Linked DNA regions of Saccharomyces cerevisiae S288C. The gene in region 2 interacts genetically with the main gene of each other region. Each region holds a gene or a part of one and is shown on either strand. Other genes may lie near its edges.

Region 1 (3,664 bases), on a different chromosome or scaffold from region 2:
ACCTTCATCAAAAGCAGTTTGCAAACTGTCACCCAATTCACCTTCTGGAGCCTTGACATCATCCTTAGTGTCACCGTCCATGTTCATCAAAGACAAGAAACCGTCATCAATGTCCAACAATTGGTATTCGTTTCTCTTGACAACTGGAACTTCCATGTTGTGAGTAGATGGAGACAAATCTTCCAACTTCTTACCAGTGAAGATATCAATGGCAACCAAATGGACTTTAGCGTGACCGTGCTTACCAGTCTTAGAAGTGGACATGTCGACAATCTTACATGGTCTACTCTTGATGACAACGAAACCGTTCTTTCTCAAGGCAGAACATTGCATTGGGTAGGTGGCGGAGGAACCAGCGTCAGCAGTTTCAAAGGTATGTTCTTCGTCAGACATTGTATATATGAGTTGGTATTTGTGTGTGTTTGGGAGTCTATGAGTAATTGGCTACAGAAGTAGAATCGTTAGAAAGAAGGAAAGGAAGCAATTGATAGAAGGAGAGGAATTTAGGAAATGAGGGATTCCAATGTCAAGATATGGCAAAAACCTTGTGCATTATATAATCGTGGAACACGACGATCAACGCGGCCAAAAGCCGATCGACGACGACGACGAAAAAAATTTTTATTACCACTGTTCCTTCACCTTCGAAACTTTTTTTCGGGCGACGGCGTTTCTTTTAGCTCCTGCGGTATGTGCGGTGCGGGAGGTCCCTTGTCGCCTCACACGGACCCGATATAACGCTACGGAATACATCGAGGGGTATGGGTGGATGATATCACTGCAGCAAGGTCTGGGTGTTGCAGAATTTTACCGGCCTTGGCCCCTCAGCGTCCAGCTACAGCGTTATACTACTCCAAGTCGCCGTTCCCGTTTTGCTGTTCTCACCCCTCAGAGAAAATGCCACCAGAACGAAGCCAATGGTCAGGACTTATCGTTACTTATACTGTTGAGCCGGATATATCCGCTGTGCTCTAATACCAGCCAAACGAGAAGGGTAGCGGCAAGAAAGGGTAAACTTTCATGATGAAGTTAGCTAGTTCCTTTTACGATTGCTACTATCTCGTTCAACTTGGCCTGCGCTGTTGATGAAAATAGCAGTGACTGCAGAGAATAGAAATGAACCGGGCTCATCTGGTCTAGTTGCCTTCTTTTTTTTATTTTTTTTCATTTTCCTTTTCTTTTCTTTTCTTTTCTTGTCTCACTATGTTGGTTTAATCAATTCGTAATCCCTTTACCAACGCATTGTGTTCAATTTTCCTCTTGTGTGGGGTCGCCCGCCTTGTCTCATCGTGAAAAAATTGCGTAAGATGAAATCATGAAAACATGAAATAAAAAAAATAAATAAAAATAACTACACGATTCAAAAACGCCAAGATCTGTTAGTAGAGACAGCAAGCATTGCAAAACCATTCATCACTCAGTTGCTAGGCGAGTGTTGGTGCGATTTACCCTCATCATCTTTTTTTCGCTCCATTAAACAGTTCCTTGTGGCTTTCATGCAAAGTGTACGTCCATAATGAAGTATAATAACAGAAAACTCTCGTTCAACCCTACCACAGTAAGTATCGCTGGAACGTTGCTTACGGTGTTCTTTCTCACAAGACTCGTGCTTTCGTTCTTCTCGATATCGCTATTCCAGCTGGTAACTTTCCAAGGAATCTTCAAGCCCTATGTTCCAGATTTTAAAAATACTCCCAGCGTAGAGTTCTACGACCTACGAAATTACCAAGGCAACAAAGATGGTTGGCAACAGGGTGACCGCATCTTGTTTTGCGTGCCACTGAGAGATGCTTCTGAGCATCTTCCCATGTTTTTTAACCATCTGAATACCATGACATATCCGCACAACCTGATTGATCTGTCGTTTTTGGTGAGTGACTCTTCGGATAACACCATGGGCGTGTTACTATCCAATCTACAGATGGCGCAATCGCAACAAGACAAGTCCAAAAGGTTTGGTAACATCGAAATCTATGAGAAGGACTTCGGCCAAATCATTGGTCAGTCCTTTTCTGATCGTCACGGGTTTGGCGCCCAGGGCCCCAGAAGAAAGCTGATGGCCAGGGCTCGTAATTGGCTTGGGTCCGTGGCCCTGAAACCATACCACTCCTGGGTTTACTGGAGAGACGTGGATGTCGAAACCATCCCCACTACCATCATGGAGGATCTAATGCATCACGACAAGGACGTCATTGTCCCCAACGTCTGGAGACCTTTACCAGACTGGCTGGGAAACATTCAACCCTACGATTTAAATTCATGGAAGGAATCAGAAGGGGGTCTTCAATTGGCGGATTCCCTAGACGAAGATGCTGTCATTGTGGAAGGGTACCCAGAGTACGCCACTTGGAGACCTCACCTGGCATACATGAGAGACCCAAACGGTAATCCAGAAGACGAAATGGAATTGGACGGTATTGGAGGGGTCTCGATTCTCGCGAAAGCTAAAGTATTCAGAACAGGCTCACACTTTCCTGCATTCTCCTTTGAAAAGCACGCAGAGACAGAAGCATTCGGTAGGCTCTCCCGCAGGATGAATTACAATGTCATCGGCTTGCCCCATTATGTCATCTGGCACATCTACGAACCTTCCAGCGACGACTTAAAGCACATGGCTTGGATGGCTGAAGAGGAGAAGCGGAAACTAGAAGAAGAGAGAATTCGCGAATTTTACAACAAGATCTGGGAGATTGGATTTGAAGATGTCAGAGACCAATGGAACGAAGAAAGAGATTCAATCTTAAAAAACATTGACTCCACTTTGAACAATAAAGTCACTGTAGACTGGTCTGAAGAGGGAGATGGCTCGGAGCTGGTGGACTCAAAGGGTGACTTTGTCTCACCAAACAACCAACAACAACAACAACAGCAACAACAACAACAACAGCAGCAGCAGCAACAGCAACAGCAACAACAGCTCGACGGCAACCCGCAGGGGAAACCTCTTGATGACAACGACAAGAACAAGAAAAAACATCCTAAAGAAGTTCCATTAGACTTCGACCCTGATAGAAACTAGGCTCGGTTTTTTAGTGACCTACATATGAAGTACGAATTCATATAGTTGTACATATATACCGATAATAATATCAAACCTCTATTCTTTGGTCTTTAACTTTTCTTTGAGTGAATTACAATACCATTGTTATATCAATCACTATACACGGCTCGGTGGCGAAATTGAAATTTTTTTATTTTCTTCTCTTTCATTATGGCTAGGCAAGAAATAGCGACAGCAAAACTTAAGAAAAAATGATAGAACAAGGTCCCATCCAGTATTGACTAGTAGCTAAAGCTAGAAGGTACACTTAGGTTTTTCTCCCTGTTTTTAAGTTTGAACCATTGATAAGGCCGTTCGCAGACAAGCTTGCTACCATCCAATTTTCCTTCCTCTAAAGACTTAATAAAGGCATCTAACTCCACCTTTAAATCACAGATCACACAAAGACAACATACAATAGAAAAATGGTTAGCTTAACCTTTAAAAATTTCAAGAAGGAAAAAGTTCCTTTAGATCTGGAACCTTCAAACACAATTTTAGAGACCAAGACCAAGCTTGCTCAATCCATTTCTTGTGAAGAATCTCAAATAAAACTGATCTACTCGGGTAAAGTGCTACAAGATTCCAAAACCGTATCGGAATGCGGGCTAAAAGATGGGGACC
Region 2 (3,758 bases):
ATTATGTATGTACTAGAAGTTCTCCTCGAGGGTATAGAAATCCTTAAAATGGAATCGGTATCTTACCATAAATGTTCCACTAGAATGTCATCAGATGAAAAAGACGAAAGAAACATATGACTAGCTCGCGTGGCGTAATGGCAACGCGTCTGACTTCTAATCAGAAGATTATGGGTTCGACCCCCATCGTGAGTGTTTTTTAGTATTTTTTTTAAAAACAATTGTTCCTCTCTAAATTTTAATCAGTTTTTGATCATGAAGGGTTTTGTATGTAGCACATAAACATTTTTACTGAAAGAAAAGGATAGCCTAAATATTAGAATACAATAAAATTTTTTTGAGCCTAGTTTGACACATTTAAAACAGCATCCACACAGCCCCACCAGTTAGCACACTCAGTATGACTGCTGTGATGATAGCGGCACCAGCGCGATCACCTTTCTTAATGTTTAAATTGTTTTGTAGCACGTTAGTGGTCGATGAGTTCATACCGGCATTCGCGTCACCTTTTGACGTACCGCCATTATCTTCCTTATATGGAGCTGGCCTGTCATGAATTAAAAGATTTTGAATAACTTCTAGAGCACTCATTTGCTCACCTAATCCATAGTAGCCATCATTGGTTTGTTTCTGCCAATTTAAACCACATGTATGCCCATCTGTACCACCATTACATGATTTTGCAGCGGCCTCAGCACTTGTTTTTATCAAATCATCAATTGTGTCCCTAGTAAAGGGAGCCATGACACTTGTAAGACCAAGCATACGAGAAAAAATACTTTTGAATGTTCTTTGATCGGTGTTACAGGTGCCATAGTCTTGACAAGCGCTTTCGTACATAATACTATCTTTGAAGAAATAAGATTTAGCACCATTTAGAATTTTTGTCAAACTGGTCTCCCATTCACCTGTTCCATTTGTAGCATTATACATGTATGCAAGACCACCAAGCACGATACCGTGATTATAAGTCCATTCAATTTTTGTAATATCAGTGCAATTTGTATCAATTTCAGCACCATCAAAGACATTTGCAGTATCGTTAAGAACCACATACCCGACATCCACTAGCCAGTCGAAAACCTGTTCAGCAACCTCCAAATATGTAGTGTTACCAGTATATCTGCCCAACCTCGCCGCAATCTGGAACAAACATGCATTTGAAACTGTATTTTTATAATTATAACCACTATTCCAAGTGAAAATTTGCCATCTCAGACCACCGCCACAGTGCTCTGAATCCCATCTTGAGTACATGGTGTTGAAAACAGCTTGTACCATTGCCAACCAACCTGGCTTGCCGTCACCGGGGTCTGTAAAATTTCTCTCGACAGCACCCATAACAGTAATACCCCAAATACCTTGGTCATCATTCCCCTCAACCATCGTTTGGTTGGACGGGATATAATCGTAATTGGAACCAGTTTGCGCTAATAGTGCATCGTATAGTAATTCTTGATATGTATCATTCTCACAAAGAAACCAATTTTCCAACATGCCACCAAATGCTTCCCCTGCATGCCACCAATAGTATGGTGACTGAAACATCCCAACGGTACCACCGTATCTAGTACCCTCATAGTAATCCAGCATACCACCTTGAATTAACGCTGTCGCATCACAAATTGACGTTTTGCTAGTAGTATCCAAATCCATGGCATGAGTGGCTTTAAAAAATGACAGAAACGTAAAGCATATCGATAAGATCATCTTCGCACTAATATTGACGATCATATCTGCGTTCTGGATATGATTTCGTTCTAATTTGTTCGTCCTATATAACAACCAAAAATTAATAAAGGTGATTCAAAATGAGATAAAGGACAATGTACACAGTCAATTACTTAATTAGATATTTGAGTAAAGCTGATCTTTTGGAGAAATGGGCTTTTCATTAATTTACATTCTATTTTTGGGTTATACTCAGTTTCGCTTTACGCGGATTACATTGTTTTTTTTTCGGGCGTGGCTCAGATTGTGAAAAAGAAATTAAACAATTTAAGATTACGGTTATCGCATTAGAGGCAGAATAACTTGAAAATGGGAAATTCCCCAAGAAGGTGACCTATACATGACAATGCCAGGATATCATACATAAAATACATAACCCGTTTCTTGTTAATTGATTTCTTTCACCTTTTTATTGATTGTATTCATCTTTTTCTAATTATCGAAAGTGTCATTCGTGAAATTCTTCAGAAAATTTAGAATGTTATCGTCAATCAATTGGGCTACTGGGTCAGAAAATCTAGAGGCAATTTCATTATGTACTTTAGTAATGCCCATATCTTGTACTGCAACACTCAGAGCATCTATTAATATTATTGAGAACTCGATGTACCAACGATGATTCCAGCAACAAATCTTGACTACTAGATCGATGATTGAGCTGTCGATGTCATTGATACTTGACAATATTTGAGAAGAGGTTAACTCGGAGTTTGCTGAGACTGAATCCCTCCTAATACGCTTATGCTCGTCAATGTAAAACTGTAATAGATTCTTTGCGCATACTGGAGAAAATCTTTGGGAAAGCCCAATTTGGAAAGCCTTCGCAGCTTCTGGAAGATGTCCCAGTCTTTTCGCACAAAGGCCGAATAATTCCCATTCAACAGTTAATTTGTGATATTTACTGTTTTGAGCATCAAAATACAATTGCTCTGATTGCCAATCGGTGTAAGTTTTCAAATCTTCGTATAGTAACATGAAGAGATTATCCAACCATCTTTCGCATAGCCTCTTTGATCTCATTTTGGATATATCATTACCGCGAACTTCTGCTTCATCAATGGAAGAAGTGGAGCCTTGGTACTCGTCTTCCATAACGAAAATTTTTGATCTATATTTCAACAGCTGCTCCCATCCTGTTATTTGGACAATTTCTGTCAATAATTTATAGGCTAGTTGGAAAGTAGACTTTAAACTTGACGCAGAGAGATTGACTAGGTTTGGATCTGCGGACTTTTGCTCCAACTGGACATCCATGGGGTTCAATGACGAAATCTCCTCAATTGAGGCATCCAATGGTAATGGCAGATGAAGATTTTCATCTGAAGTAATAGGCGCAATTCTTCTAAGAACGTATTTTTCCTTAACCTGTGACATGGGGCAGGCGTTTAACGATAGCAAGGCATTTGACATATCGTTTAGTTTAATGTATATTCTAGTCAATAAATACCAAGTTTTAAATTCGTTTGGTGCACAGTTAACAGCCTCCATGGCTACTTCCTTAGCAAGCTTGTAATCTCTCTTGACATCCAGTAAGAATTCACTTTGAATACTTAATAATTCGGATTTGAAGATTAGCTGGATATGGCTAGTCTTTGAATCGTCGGCTAAGAACGAAGAGGGGGAATTTAGTTGCTCGTTGATCAGGTCAACTGCATCTATCTCTAAATCGCACGCAAAATAAACACGAATTAATATTATTACTGCTTCTGGATGAATTTCTATTAACTTCTTGAGCATTTTACGACATGCTTCCAAACTCTTAGTTAACCTAACTATTTCCACTAAAGTTTCCACTAAATAATTATTGGTTAACGAGGGATTTAAAACGTGAGTAGGTGCATCTAAATAAACACCTTTTTCATAGACCAAGGGGAACAGTTTAATAAAGTTATTGGCAACATCTTCCAACTCACCCGAGGTAAATGGATTGAAAATTAGTGTTTCTACCAAATTCTGGGATTCTCCATCCGCACGATTATCTTTCATAATCATAATGTCACGTACAATACCACTCATAAACGTTTCCG

What was found. A genetic interaction does not mean that the proteins touch.
Region 1: mutations in DFG5 (region 2) and ANP1 together harm fitness less than expected from each alone (positive genetic interaction), as found in Saccharomyces cerevisiae (2 studies listed by BioGRID).

Annotation. Positions count from the first base shown.
Region 1 is NC_001137.3:82,405-86,068, reverse strand, and holds ANP1 (Anp1p), read left to right. Parts: upstream 1-1,516; coding exon 1,517-3,019; downstream 3,020-3,664. Other genes in the region: HYP2 (translation elongation factor eIF-5A), read right to left, coding at 1-393; UTR5 (Utr5p), read left to right, coding at 524-1,024; RAD23 (Rad23p), read left to right, coding at 3,466-3,664. UniProt on the Saccharomyces cerevisiae protein: Involved in the organization of the secretory pathway. Required to maintain a functional Golgi apparatus.
Region 2 is NC_001145.3:744,329-748,086, reverse strand, and holds DFG5 (putative mannan endo-1,6-alpha-mannosidase), read right to left. Parts: upstream 1,735-3,758; coding exon 358-1,734; downstream 1-357. Other genes in the region: BCH1 (exomer complex subunit), read right to left, coding at 2,164-3,758. UniProt on the Saccharomyces cerevisiae protein: Required for normal synthesis of the cell wall.